2 linked regions of the Rattus norvegicus genome follow. The protein of the gene in region 2 interacts with the protein of the main gene of each other region in a pairwise test. Links are inferred from orthologs where the notes say so. Each region holds a gene or a part of one and is shown on either strand. Other genes may lie near its edges.

The links. The genes of interacting proteins can lie anywhere in the genome.
Region 1: the proteins of Rig1 (region 2) and Mavs interact in binary tests that used the Homo sapiens proteins (3 or more experiments, as listed by UniProt). The link is inferred for Rattus norvegicus from reciprocal best matches to the Homo sapiens genes RIGI and MAVS.

What each region holds. Positions count from the first base shown.
Region 1 is NC_086021.1:138,912,374-138,919,548, reverse strand, and holds the end of Mavs (mitochondrial antiviral-signaling protein), read right to left. Parts: intron 5,398-7,175; coding exon 5,244-5,397; intron 3,193-5,243; coding exon 2,717-3,192; intron 1,982-2,716; coding exon 1,553-1,981; 3' UTR 424-1,552; downstream 1-423.
Region 2 is NC_086023.1:60,146,324-60,154,591, forward strand, and holds part of Rig1 (antiviral innate immune response receptor RIG-I), read right to left. Parts: intron 7,347-8,268; coding exon 7,165-7,346; intron 6,239-7,164; coding exon 6,091-6,238; intron 4,707-6,090; coding exon 4,584-4,706; intron 2,962-4,583; coding exon 2,854-2,961; intron 2,481-2,853; coding exon 2,327-2,480; intron 1,065-2,326; coding exon 806-1,064; intron 1-805.

The sequences.
Region 1 (7,175 bases), on a different chromosome or scaffold from region 2:
AGACCAGGCTGGTCTTGAACTCACTCAGAGATCTGCCTGCCTCTGCCTCCTGAGTGCTGATTAAAGGCATGAGCACAGCCAGCCTAAGCCTAACTGTATTTCTGCTATAGGAATAACTAGACTTCCTGCCCACTGAGAAGGGAAGAATGTGCTAAGACCTATCTCTCACCGAGAAGGGAAGAATGTGCTAAGACCTATCTCTCACCAGGTACCTTTTCTTTAAAAGTGATGATGTGTCAGATGGTGGTGGCCCATGCCCTTAATCCTAGCACTTGAAACAAACAGGTGGATCTCTGAGTTTGTGGCCAGCCTGGTCTACAGAGTGAATTCTAGGACAGCCAGGACTACACAGAGAAACAGTCTAGGGTGGGGTGGTGATAACATGTATCCAACCTTTAAGAAATTTGGAACACACAAGATTTGTACAGATAAACTCTTTTAATTAATCCCAATAAAACTAGAATATATTAGCATATATATGCATATTCACCCCATCTCACAGGTGAGAAAAGTGAGGCACAGAGGTAAGGTCTACACCTGACCAGGGAGGAGACAAAAGCACGATGGAGGCGAAGGCTGCTCTCTCAAAGACTGTGCTATTACCACTGTGCACTCTGTCTCTCATGCTCTCACCTTAGCTCTACCAGCCTGGGCAGGACGGCAAGAACTTGTGCTCACACCCTCGGGGATAGGCACTAGGCAAATATCTCTATCCTTCAAACTCAGAGGAGCCCAGTAAAAGGAAGTGCTACCCACTGTCCACACTGGGAGGAAGACTAGAGAAGCTAAACATCTGCTAAAGGCAGAGAAAGGGTGGAACTGATCCAAGCCCAGCCTGAGCTCTGCCCACTAGGTATCTCATCATCCAGTGTAGGAGGTCAAAGAGAATGGAGACCAGGAGGGGAGAAGTGAAGAGCTGGGATAAGGAGGCTGGAGCAAGGCTCCCAGGGGCTTTCTCAGGCCTGGGAGCTGCTTCTGGCTTTCTTGGAGTCCACAGAGAACCTCCAGGCCCACCCTTAGGGCTGTCTGGCTGGGGAGAGGGACCAAAGGGGCAGAGCACCCAAAGCTCCCAAGAGACCAGCTGCTCTGCTGCTCCCAGGCACTCTGCCGAGGCCTCAGCCAGGCTGCTGGTGGAAGGCATTGGATGCTACGGGACCACTCATCACTATTCTACGCTTGTGTTTCAGGAGACCTGGGTGAGAGGAGGGGCACTGTCAACAGTGCAATGCCTCCTCATCTTCAGGCTTGGGCCAATAGGGATGAGTCTGGTGGGGATACCTCCTTAGGAGCACATAGCATGCAATCTTACCCTGCCCTGTGGGCAGGTCAGAAGCAATGGAAGGGATACAGGGCCCCCAAAAGCTGAAGACCAGAAGATGACATGAACCAGGATAGAAGCAGTGTCTCTTCCCCCACCACATAGTGATGGCGCCTCAGTACAGGTAGCACCTGTACCTGGATAACTCAGTGGACCTCGCCATATCTACCACCCCAAGCCTAGAGGGCATGCTTGGCAGGACTGAGCAAGTGAGTGTGGCATACAGCTGAGGCTTCACTGGGCCAGGTGCCTGCTACGGTAGAGCATCACTGCCAGGAATGCAGCCAAGAGTGCACTGGTGGCCCCCAGCCACTTAGCCCAGGACACTGAACTGGCACAAGGCTCTTCCTCTTCTGGGGACTGCTGGGTGGCTAGTGGCTCAGGGCTTCCTAACAGATCAACACTGGGACTTTTATCCACCTGGATTCGAAAGGATGAATACTCATTCTCCTCTGGACCATGGTTGGGTTCTGAGCCCAAGGAGGTGCTAGGGCTGATGGCAAGGTCCATAGAGCAGGCTGAGAATGGCTCGTTGTCCACCTGGGACACCAGCACCCCTGGCTTGCTTAACTCTGGCCCAGAGTGCAAGCTCCTGGAACTGATATCTGGTCTGGTCAGGCTGCTTCCAGTGGTGACTACGGTTGCTGGAGCCTCCAGGGTCTCCTGCAAACATAAGAAGAGGGGTTCAGGTGACAGGAGATAACCCAGGGTGTGGCAAGGGCTTGAACTAGTATCCCACAATAGCCGAAATTACCCTCTCTTGGGGATAAGACACAGCTGAGTAGGTGACCAAGATGCTGCAGTACCCCTCCAGGGCAGCCCTCTCCCACTCACGGAACTGCTGTGAGCTCCACTAAGAGGGAGCCCTTGCTGGCATGTGAACCATCTTGTACTACCTGGGCCTGAGAGCCACAGGGCAGGCACAAGATCCTGAGGTTTACAAACTTGGTTCCCTTAGGTAGACAGTTGTATGGTCGTGGGGAAAATGGCTATAGGGGTCACTAGGTTGGAGAAGCTACTACAAGCAGGATGCTTGAGAACACTGTCGAATGAACAGGGCACTAGGACACATGAGCCATCACGTTTAGTCCCCACTACTCCAGCTACAAAATGGTACTGCTGACCTTCACTGGGGCTTCAAGCTCCAAATGAGTTAACAGACATGCCAGTGGGGGAAGTCCCATGCCCCACCCTACTTAGTCCGAGCTTAGGCGGGCTCATGACTCTCATTCCTCTTGGAAAACAAGGTGCAAGGGCTGGGTTTGGCTGCTTCCCATCTGTCCCACCACCTTGAAGAAACAGACCAGGGACAGCACAGGAAGTAAAAGGGTCTGAGGGCAAGGACCAGCTGTCTTGGCAAAGTAGCCTGAGCCACTATTAGGAGGAACAAGGACTCACCTTGGCTTGCTTGTTGTTCCTCTCAGGTGGCATTGTGCTGGCACTTGCTTTGGCCACACTAGCAGTCACTTTGGATGGCACTATGCCAGTATATACTGAGTTGATGGGTAATTTTGATGGCGCTATATTAGTGGGCACAGTAGAGGGCGTTGCAGCAGTGGACTTTGTACTGATGGGCAACTTGGAAGACATGGTATTTACTGGTACTGGTTTGATGGAAGGCACTGAGCTGGTAGTCACAGAATTGGTAGGTACTCCCTCTTTAGTGCTGACACAGGTGGCAGCCTTGGCCTGGTCACCTGCTCCCTTTGCAAAAGCTGATCCAGTAGAAGAGGAGGACAAAGTGGTCTTGGCAGATAGAGCTGATACTGTGACCCCAGGCGAGAGGTTTGTCCTCGGGGCAATACGTGGAAGGGGCTGGAAGGAAACAGTTGGAGACACAGGTCCATAGGTTGCTATGGGAACAGAGTCAACATCTACAGGTGGGGAGAGAAAAGCAGAAACAAACCCAAAGGATGGTTTTAACTTAAGGGCTAGAGAAGGGTCCCCATGTCCTTGATCACATGGTCCCTTCCACATCTTGCCTCCCAATCTCCTCCCATGGAAAAGACTCTTGCCCCTCAGCCCTTAACTTGTAACCCTAGTCTGTCCTATCATCAAAGTAAAATGGGCTCTACCTTCATCCACACCTAAGAGCTTAAACCTTGGTATAAATTATTCCTTTTCCATCGACCCTAAGCACTTGCCTCTTCTCTCACTTCAGCCCCTTCTACCTTGTCCTGGGGCATGAGCGTGGATGTCCTGAGACATTCCTCTTACTACTGTCCCTCACTACCTTCTAGCAGGAGCAATCCTGAATCAGGGCAAGCAGTGGCAGGATGGCTCAATAGAACCGCTAACACCAGTCAACTGACCCACAGGCATATGTCCCCAAGGATAGGGACCTAGTAGTCCCAGAAAGGGAGCTTGATTTGGGGAAACAGAAGTAGCAGGAAGTTACAGTGCATAGAGCTGATGACGACAGACTCTTCCCAGAACTCTGAGGATACATTTGCCATCACTGACAAAGGTCAGAAGTGATGTCCGACATCTCTCCCTAAACCTGACAGAAAATCTCCCGGAGCCCGTGCTTACAGACATACTTCAACCAAGTGCCATTTGTGAAAGCAGTTGGGGGCACTGGGACAATTTCCTCTAACCTTTAACTGTTCACATGGCAATCCTAGGGCACTGAGGGCTCACCTGGCACCAGTAACAAACAGAGCAAACAGAACTCAATTTGGGAAGTAGAGGTGAGCCGCTCTAGCCTGGAAGTCGGGGTGGACAAACTCTAGTCCTGAGGGGGACACCAGGTTCTGAACCCTGGCTGACTTATCTGGGGTTGAACCACTTTAGTGATTTTTCTGGTTGTCTTGGTTACTTTTCTACTGCTGTGACCAAGACAACTTATATAAGAAATCACTTAATTTGGGGCTCATCGTTCCAGAGGGTTAGAGTCCATGACCGTCATAGTAGGGAGCATGGCAGCAAGGAGGCAGGCACTGGAGCAGTAGCTGAGACCTTCCATCTTACCCACAAGCATGAGGCGGGGATGGGCTTGGAAGGGGGTGGGGGGGGGAGAGAGAGAGAGAGAGAGAGAGAGAGAGAGAGAGAGAGAGAGAGAGCGCAAAGGCACACTATCTGGGAATGTCATGAGCTTTTGAAACCTCCAAGCCCACCTCTTTGACAAGACTACACCCCATAGTCCTTTCTAAACAGCTCCACCAACTGGGAACCAAGTATCCAGATGTAGAAGCCTATGGGAGCCACTTCATTCAAACCACAGCTGGGAACCAGACATCCCCTTGTGAAGAGCTCCCTCATTAGCTACCCATAAGGTGTCCTTCCCGTCTTCAGGTCCTGGGCAATCACTACCTTCTACCTGAGTGCAGAAATAGCCCTAGCTCTCTCCCACATGCAGCAAGGTACAAAAACTATACACCCACAGGGCAAAAATCACACTCTCCAATGTGATTTGACCAGAATCTAGTAAAAAAAAAAATCTCAGAATCTGGGCTGGCCTTATCATTTGTTTTGACCACAGAACAGAGCAGGAGTAATAAGACCTCTTGCCTTATTACTGAGCCTAAGCTCAGAGCTCTGCCTCTCTTTTATTTACCCAGAGCCTTACCCAGATGCTGTGAGTTGGGTTTTTGTGCTAGAGGAAGAGAGAATGAGGAAGTACCAGCCAATGGATGTAGTAGAACATTATGTATATGTCAGGGAACACCCGACACAAAATCAGCAAGATCAGAAGACCTACCCAGCTGAGCCATGTGCTAATGAATGACTGCATTTTAAGCTGCTGCTGCTGCTGCTACTACTACACACACAGGTATGCACACAGCACACACACACACACACACACACACACACACACTTTTATTTCTACCCTGCCTCCTATCTAAGGAAGGCCAAGTGGTAACTGTAACCCTAACCTTCATGTGAGCGGTCCAGGAGACCCTCTCATACCACACTCTATACATACTTGCTGTGGAGGGGCCCCCCAGTTCGGGTTCTTGCTCGGGATGCTCTCTGGAGGGCTGAGGGCTGAGGGCCGGTGGGTTAGGTGAGGATATCAAAGAGTCACCCGACATCCTTGGAATGGCCCCAAAGTTGGCCTGTGGGGGTTCCTCCGAATTCTGAAATAGAGGAAATAACATAAAGCCATTGCTTCTCCTGGGGCTGAAAAAGGGCAGCATATATTTATGGGGCTCAAGAGCACAAGCTCCTCGGAACCTTTGCTTGGCTTCAGGCTACAGGAAGCCTTCACATATGAGGCTGAAGCTCATCGATTATACTTGCCTAATGTAAGTCTCCATCCCTAGTACCTATTTGGTTTTTTTTTTTTTAAGATTTATTTATTTATTATATATAAGTACACTGTAGCTGTCTTCAGACACACCAGAAGAGGGCATCAGATCTCATTACAGATGGTTGTGAGCCACCATGTGGTTGCTGGGATTTGAACTCAGGACCTCTGGAAGAGCAGTCAGTGCTCTTAACCTCTGAGCCATCTCTCCAGCCCTTTTTTTTTTTTAAGATTAATTTATTTATTTCATATAAGTACACTGTAGCTGTCTTCAGACACACCAGAGGGCATCAGATCTTACTACAGATGGTTGTGAGCCACCATGTGGTTGCTGGGATTTGAACTCAGGACCTTTGGAAGAGCAGTCAGCGCTCTTAACCACTGAGCCATCTCTCCAGCCCACCTATTTGGTTTTTTTTTTTTTAAAAGATTTGTTTATTTATTATATATAAGTACACTGTAGCTGTCTTCAGACACACCAGAAGAGGGCATCAGACCTCATTACAGATGGTTGTGAGCCACCATGTGGTTGCTAGGATTTGAACTCAGAACCTCTGGAAGAACAGTCAGTGCTCTTAACCGCTGAGCCATCTCTCCAGCCCCACCTATTTGGTTTTGTTGTTGCTGTTTTTGTTTTGTTTTGAGATAGGACCTTACGTATCTCACCCTAGCCTTGAACTTACTAAGGATGACTATGAACTTCTGATTCGCCTGCCTCTCTCTCCTGAGTGGCAGGCGTATAGGTGTGTGTCATCATGCCCAATTTATATGGAGCTGGAGACTGACCTCAGGCACGTGTGTATGCCAGACAAGCACCCCAGCAACTGAAAGCTCTATTCCCAGCCTCCCAGGACAACTGTGTTTTCTAAAGATTTATTTATTTATTATATATGAGTACACTGTAGCTGTCTTCAGACACACCAGAAGAGGGCATTGAAACCCATTACAGACGGTTGTGAGCCACCATGTGGTTGCTGGGAATTGAACTTAGGACTTCTGGAAGAGCAGTCAGTGCTCTTAACCACTGAGCCATCTCTCCAGCCCAGTCCCCAGGATGACTTCAAGTGCATTAAAAAAACAAAACAAAACAAAAAACCAGGCACTGCTGAAGTTCCCTACCCATGTGTCTGTAACCACTGTCCTTTCTTCAGCAGTCTGCACAGACCCTATGGCTTCAGACCCATAGTCTAGGTCTAGGGTTTCTTCTATACCCCATTGTTAACTCACTTCATCCCGGTGGAACTAGTTATCTTCCCCTGATACCTGATTTTACTGTTGATAATTAGCTCTGTCACTACCCACCCTTCTTGAGCCCTCATATCACCTCTCTCACATACAAATCTGGTTACCCTCTAGTCTTTTTTACCCAGCTCAACATATCACATGACCATTGCAAAGACCTCAACAGCACACTAAGGGGCCACAGGTCTAGCCAGCAGTTAGGTAGCTAGTTAGGGAACCCCAGCATTCTTAGCAGAAATGAGGCATGATTTTCAGGAGGTAGAAAGGGGCTCTGGGGGGTTGGGGATTTAGCTCAGTGGTAGAGCGCTTGCCTAGGAAGCGCAAGGCCCTGGGTTCGGTCCCCAGCTCCGAAAAAAAAAAAAAAAA
Region 2 (8,268 bases):
ACTGTAGAGTTTTAAGGTTCTGGGACATGTTGGGTCCATCCATTCCTCCGAGCCCCTGGACACACAATACCCTCTTACTGGAAACCATAAGCCATCTACCTAGCCAATTCCTGCTAGTTCCCTTCATCCCTATGAGGTCTTGCGTTACTATCCCTTATGTTCTGACAACACCCTTTACCTGTCTCTGCAGCGTACTTCATGATAAACAGTGACTATGATGTCCCTGGCTCCCTGTGCAAACGTAACTGTACGAGAGCCAGGACCATGTCTTCTATATTGGTGTCCCAGAGCCTAAACAAGGCACAAGATCCATGGAAGCCCATGGTTTATACAGTTGGCCCTCCAAATCCTGAGGTTATATATCTGTGAATTCACACAACTATGGATCCAAAATATTTTCAAAAACCTCACAAGTACTGAACATGTATGATTTCCCCCACCTTTATTCCCTAAATAATACAGTACAAGAACTATTTGTAAAAAAATTTACATCAGACTCAACAATACTAGTAATCTGGAGATGATTTAAAGTATGCTGGAAGAAAGTGTGTAGATTATATATAAATGCAATGTCATCTCATACAAGAGACTTAAGCAGCCTGGATTTTGTTCTCTGTGAAGGGCACTCACCCTGGACACCAAGGGACAACTCCTTATCAAGTGAATGAACCGACATTGAACACTGAGTTGTAACTGACAGACTGAAACCCCGAGGAGGGCAAGCTCAGATGTTCCTACAGAAGAGCAGCTAAGTGGAACTCTGGAAGACTGCGGCTCTTCTTAGAAGTCACCTGACTGGAAATACCTGAGGCAGTGGGTCGGGTGACCCTCCGAGTTTGTGATCTAGGTATCTGAACATGATCTGGTTGTACGGGTGGTGTTTGCTGGTGTTATGACACTCGTCGAATATCATCAGAGTGAAGACAGACAGCGAGGGGATGGCTCCATTGTTGAGACTGTTCACAAGAATCTGGGGTGTCAGGATGACGATGTCATTGTTTTCAATGATGTGCTGCACTGACACATTATCAGCCGTTGCCCCCGAAATGCCGGCGACATTGTACCTGGGAAGTGACAGAAATCCCTTATCACCAACCATGTTGTGAACAAAGAGACAAAGTGGAAGTCTAGGTCACAGCAGCAATTAAGGAAGCGCCCCCGAGCCCCAAAGAGTACAGCTGAGGAGCACTCGAGCTTTCTCACAGTCCTGATGCAAAGCCAGGGACCAGGAAATGCAAGGGGTTATAACTAACTGATCCAATGATCACAATGTTCCAAGTCATTAGAAGATAAACGATTTTTAAAAGAGTAATAGCCAATAAAGTATAAAATCATTAAAAATGACCAGCGTGGGGGGGGTGGATGGGGAGGGGAACAACCTTATAAAAGGGGAGGGGGAGGAGTTAGGGGGCTGATAGACAGGAAACCGGGAAAGGGAATAACATTTGAAATGTAAATAAGAAATACCCAATTTAATAAAAATGGAAAGAAAAGAAAAGAAAGCCATTGATGATCGGAGATGAGTTTATAGATACAAGTAAGGGCAACCACAGGGCGAAGTTGATTGACTTCTGTTGCATTTGTCTTCAGGAAGACGGAGGTAAACGAAGGTACTAAAAAAAACCTGAACACAAGCTACAGAAATGACCTCGCTTGTGTATCCAAGCAAACCAAAGGGATCAGAGATGGGGGAGGAGCAGAGGGTGCAGAGAAATTATACGGAAAATCTAAAATCACTGTAAAATCAGACATAATGATGATATTCACAATAATTCTATAAATGACAAGGAACGTGATGTTTTCTGCAATACTCATCAATAAAAGAAAGATAAAATCAAAAAAAAAAAAAAAAGACCAGTGCATCACCTAAATGTTAAATTTGGCCACCAAGTTATTAATGGTCAGAGCAATCCATGAGGGCTTAGCATTTCTGGTAAAGTTAAACAAAGAATGTTATTCCACAAAGGAACTACTTCTAAAAGTTAAGTCTGGGGTAATTTTCTTTCTTTTTTTTTTTTTTTTCCGGAGCTGGGGACCGAACCCAGGGCCTTGCGCTTCCTAGGCAAGTGCTCTACCACTGAGCTAAATCCCCAAACCCGGTAATTTTCTTTTAATCATAACACAGAACAGCGAGGCCTGCCAAATGCGCTGGAAGGTAGAAGCAAAAGGATCATCTCGTCTAGGCCAACCTCAGCTACAGAGTGAGTTGGAGGACAGCCCCAGCTACGTGATACCCTACAACAAAACCCCCAAAACCAGACAAAGAGGCTAGAAATTTAAAATAAAAACAAAAGACGAAAGAGGTTGGACTGATCGTAGTACATACCCAAATCTTTCGAAATATCGTGAGAACACAGTGGCCTGCTGTTCATACACAGGGATCTGGTTAGCAAAAAAGACCACTTTCCCTTTCTGTCCGTGCGGAAAGTTTTTAAGATGATGTTCGCATATGAGAAGCGACACAAAGGTTTTTCCACAACCTTTTAGCAAGGGAAGGAAAAAGAAAGAGATAAGCGGTGTTAGCTGTTTTTCCAGGATGGTAATTATTTTTGGCTTCTGTATCACCATTGGGATACAAATAAACGAATCCTTCCTCTGCACAGACAGTGACACTTTAAACCATGGCTTAAAAATGCCACCTTCTCCCTAAGTAACATGCGTTCAAGGAGCAAGGACCAAAAGCAAACTAAAAGAGGGCACTCATCTCCCACCGGCTTCCTTGAGAAACACAGAGAGATTGCTGACCGGACAGCTCTCCCAATGGCAAATACGGAAAAACCCCTTGCTTTGCAGCACCCAAAAGGAAACGAAAAAGCAAAGAGAAGGTTCTGTGAGTTGCAGCAACTAACTCACCAGTAGGAGCACATATTACTGTATTTTTCCCTTTCTTGGCAGGCAGGGCAAGCTCCAGTTGGTAATTTCTTGGTTTCAATGGGCTGTGTGAATTATTAGGAGACGCTTCTGTAATACAGAAGGGACAGAGTTATTGAAGGGTTTGTGCCATTCAGTGGACCTGAGTTCTGATCCTAGCAACAATGCCCCATTTGAGGAGGTTTGGGATCTTGCTTCTTAATAATTGTCCCACTTTCCCCTTTGAAGGACACTCTACTCTCTCAATGACAAAGTATCAACAGCAAGGAGGCAGGGGAAAGGCCAAAGTGAATTATTCTTCCTCTCTCTCTCTCTCTCTCTCTCTCTCTCTCTCTCTCTCCCTTCCTTCCTTCCTTCCTTTTTAAAGATTCATTTATTTATTTTATTTTATGTGTATGAGTACACTGTCACTGTCTTCAGACACACCAGAAGAGGGCATCAGATCCCATTACAGATGTTCATGAGCCATCATGTGGTTGCTAGGAATTGAACTCATGACCTCTGGAAGATCAGTCAGTGCCCTTAAATGCTGAGCCATCTCTCCAGCCCCGTGACTTCTTTCTTAATCATGGAAACATTACTAAGAAAAAGGAAAGCAAGAATGGCCTAATTCAGAACATAGCCACTTGTTACAAAGTAAGAACAGATCTTCAAAAACAGCCAGAAAACCAGCTGTTGGCACCAGGTTCTCAAAGCAACTGAGTGTCTAACCGTCCCACTGTAAAGAAAGACTTTCTAGGTGAAGAAAATCGCCTTTGTTTAAAAGTCATGTATGGATCACTGTGTGTCCGAAATATTTAAATCGACTGTGTATCCCTAGGATGAAAACCTGTGTCATTCACTTGCTGACATCATTTGTAAGATGTGTGTGTGTGTGGTGTGTGTGTGTGTGTGTGTGTGTGTGTGTGTGTGTGTGTGTACACATATATATACTGTTTTTAAGAAATCACATCTTTTAACACTATTCATCATTAATATATCTCCTTCCTGATATATATTTTTTACAAATGTTTTGTTTGTTTGAAAGTTGTCTTACAACTTTCTGGTCTCTCTCTCTCTCTTTTTTTTTTTTTTTTTTAATTAATGCTATGTATGTGAGTACACTGTCACTGTCTTCAGACACACCAGAAGAGGGCATCAGATCCCATTACAGATGGTTGTGAGCCACCATGTGGTTGCTGGGATTTGAACTCAGGACCTCTAGAAGAGCAGTCAGTGCCCTTAACCACTGAGCCATCTCTCTAGCCCTCTAGTCTCTTTATAATAAAGGTGTATTTCAAGGAGCATTAGGGCCCTCGTCCAACCACAGGTAACAGAACAGTAGCCTGTGTGTGAGAAGTTACTGTGAGCCCACACACAGAGGCTGCAAACAGCGGCCACACAGTCACCTCATGCTCTCGGACGGCAGCCCTGGCACCCTGAGACGAGACTGAACAAGTGGCTCAGAAACAAGTATTCTTCAGAGAGAAAAGCTGCTTTGGGATGCCACGGGCACGGTGGTACATATAAAGACACATATACTCCAGGGTAGAAGGCTATAAAAGCAGCAGAGGCTATGGAAGACGGGAACCAGAATTCTGATTATAAGTCTCTATCGCCCCACAAATTCTCTTTCTTTTCTCAATCATCCTTAAAAAGGATTTTTTTTTTTCAAAAGGCTTCAAAGTGCTGGGGAAACACCATCATGGACAAGAACAAGTGATGCTGGGTACCTGAAGGAGGGCCGGGATTCTGACTGAGATTCTGACACTCCGGTTCTTCCTGAATGAAAATCTGTATGCTGGCCATCTCTGTTCCGTCATCCTCAACAGCCTTACAGTCAACCCTTCTGACACCTTTGTGAAGACAAACAAACATACAAACAAACACAAATAAGAGCTTAGAATCTTAACGCTATGTGATTACGGTTTTGGTTGAGGAAGCCCCGAAAAGCTCTTATAACCATGACTTCACAGTTTCTTTCTTTCTTTCTTTCTTTCTTTCTTTCTTTCTTTTTTCTTTTTTTCTTTTTTTCTTTTTTTCGGAGCTGGGGACCGAACCTAGGGCCTTGCGCTTGCTAGGCAAGCGCTCTACCACTGAGCTAAATCCCCAACCCCTTCTTTTTTTTTAAAGATTTATTTATTTATCATATTTATATATGTACACTGTAGCTGTCCTCAGACACACCAGAAGAGGGCATCAGATCTCATTGCAGATGGTTGCGAGCCACCATGTGGTTTCTGGGATTTGAACTCAGGGCCTCTGGGAGAACCGTCAGTGCTCTTAACCTCTGAGCCATCTCTCCAGCCCGCTTTGCAGTTTCTCAACATTTTATTTACTTTTGAAATGGATTTGTTTATTGTGTGTGTCACACATGACACAGTGAGTATGCGGAGGTGGAGGACCCTGTCTGGGGATTGGTTCTCTCTATCATGTAGGGCCTAGACATTGAACTCGGTTCTTCAGGCTCAGTGACAGGAGCTGAGCCATCTCACCAGCCCCACTTTGTCAGCTTAAAACAGCAGCAAGAATCATTTTGAGTTTGAAGGTCACTTGGGTGTTTGAATTCCAGTGTCGCCTAGAACTACGAGACTCCAAGTGTAGAACGTGCAGCTATTAGCAGTGCGTAATCGGAGTCCCTCCCCACTCCATAGCTCAGGACAATGACGCAGGAGAGTCACTCCTGAGCACACTAAAGGGACACTCACGATTTCATCTCTGACCAATGACATAGACAGTTTCTGGAATGACTGATGTTCTAGGTGAGAACTGAACCTAGAAACTCGGGTATTTATCAAGGTCTGGTTTAAAGCAAGAAGTGACTTTCCGGAAGCCAAATAAGGTTGGCTTAATCACAGCAAATCTCTGTTTACGCCTTGCTCTGTTCAGTTCCTGATGGCTTCTGGACAAGAGAACCAGTCAACAGCTATCACTCCCAGCGCTCGGCCTCTACTCTGACAGGGAGATAAGTCTCGCAGTTCGAACCTTTAGGTCTAGAACTCTTATAAATCTCGGCAGGAAGCCTTTATTCTTCCTTCTCCAAATTCTTTGACCTGGGTGGGTTAATTCCATGACTTGTAGCTCCCTTCCTCCCAGGACCCAGCTTGTGTCTTCCCACCGCTTGTGTCCTAGGGCCACGGCTTGAGGTATGTGAAGTGAACAGCGTCTCTGATGGAAAGTAAAGTCGGGGAGAACTGTGGGGCCCAGCATGGTTCAGAGCTCTTTCTCAGAGCAGCCCACCTTTATCGACGAGCCACAGTTCACTAAACTTGCTGTTGTCTTTCTCCAAAGCAAACTGCAAAACCTTTGGCCAGTTCTCCTTATCGGATCTGAGAAGACATTGGACCATCTTCTCCGCACCCGCCATCCTCCCTTTAGTGAAGCAGATCTGGGGGAGACAAAGGCACCACACTGATTGGCCAGCTCAGCCTTTCTCCTTGCAAGCTTTGCTAAAGAAACCACATCTACTCAAGCAGTTCTTGGTAGAGATCACTGTGAGCTCTGGTCGAGGGGCCTTAGCATCTTTTTTTTTTTTTTTTTTTTTTTTTTTTGCCCTACCCAGCACTAGCTTTTAAACTATTCTTCCCTTCACCTTTGTCCTTTATAACGGGCTATCAATATGTCAAGGCAAATGTTATCTTCTGAATCCTTACATCCATTGCCTCTGGCAATCCCAGGGTAAAAAGTTAACCCAGACAACGACCGACCCGTTCACCCTAAGGATATCTCAGCATACAGAGCCATTTGGAAACGCCTAACAACACAGCAGCAGTTTGGTTTGGTTTTTTTCAAAGCAGGTATTCTATGATTTTTATTTCTAATGATCACTAAAATGCATGGTGTATATATTGCTATGCATCAAACTGGCAGATATACTTAGTGCGCACCGTCTCGTTTCACCCTAAGAGCATGCTAATAAGGTACATTTTTCTTCCATTAGCTTCTTAGAGAAGCTAAATGGATTGCCGAACACTAGTTAAGGGACTGAGAGACTGTAATAAATGTAGCTACACGCCAGAGCCTGGCCTATTTTTCTTTTCATTTGTTGCCCTGCTTGACGTGATTTGCATGTGCATAAAACACTATTCAAAGAAAAGGTAAGGGGGCAACTTGAACTGCAAATAGGTCAATTTTCCAATAGTCTTGCACAGAAAATTACCCCATTCACTTTAAAAATTCTATTCTAGTCATTATGTCTTCTAGATGAGAGCTTTTATGGGTTTCGATTATCCTTGGGCCTAAAGCACGACAGAAAACGGGGCATTTCCAATGTGTCAGCATTTTTCTTTAAACTTAGTACCTGTACTGGCTTACCTGTCTGATTTCTTCACATTCCTGATTAATCAAACATTCAGATATTTCAGAAAGGATATCTGTCGGGCTAACTGTGGCCTTAAATTCCGGCTCTAAACGTCTTAAAAGTAATCTGTGTTCCTCTAACTTTTCAAGTTTTTGAAAGTCCCAAGTTTCGATGGCTTCATAAAGTCCACAGTAACCTGGAAAGAAAGAAAAAAATGGGGATTTCTTAAAGCGAGCCCAAGATAAAAACGCTTTCACATCAAAATCACAGGAATTCTATTTGAATACATGGTAAGGGAACTCAAAACCATCTGCAAACACGGCCTCAGTCACTGGACGACGGACAGTCTGGGGAGCAAGCTTGGACGCTAGCTGGTGGCGGCCTTTGGAGGTGACCACACCATGCGGGTCCTGACGTCATCAGTGGCAGCACACTGAGTTCCTACAGAAGGACTGACTGAGAACCGTAGCCCCCTGGCACAGCCTTTGCCACCAGAAAGTGCCTCGTTCTTCCACACATGCTCCCCCCAGGATGCCCTGCCTTATGACACATGGGTGGGGAAGCCACAGATCCACTTGGCTCTCATTTTTCTGCCTTTTATTTCTTCAAGCATTAACTCACAGTAGTTAAAGTCAGCGAATACAGCTATTCATGATTTTCAAAAATGGAAGTAATATTCATTTTTGGTACCCAACAGTTTAGGTCTCCTAAAAGTCATTATCCTTCAGGGTAAAGTCCGAAGGACCGATATGAAGCCTTGCATTTGCCCTTAGAATAACATCTTTAAAATGCCCCTCCATGCACTCCATGCATCAACCCACAATTTATTTTTTTAATATTTATTTTTATTTTATTTTCTGTGTGTCTGTGTACCACGAGTGTGTCTGGTGCCTTAGGAGAACAGATGAGAGTCAGATTCCGGGAACTGAAGTTACAGATGATTGTGAGCCACCATGTGGGTGCTGGGAACCAAACCTGGGTCCTTTGCAAGAGCAGCCAGTGCTCTCAAAGGCAGAACCATCTCCTTGGGCCCCTTGATTTACTTTTAAATTAGTCAAACCCATCCTGTTTAGCCTCTCAGCTGGAAACGGTAAAGAAGACAAGAGGAAATAAGAATC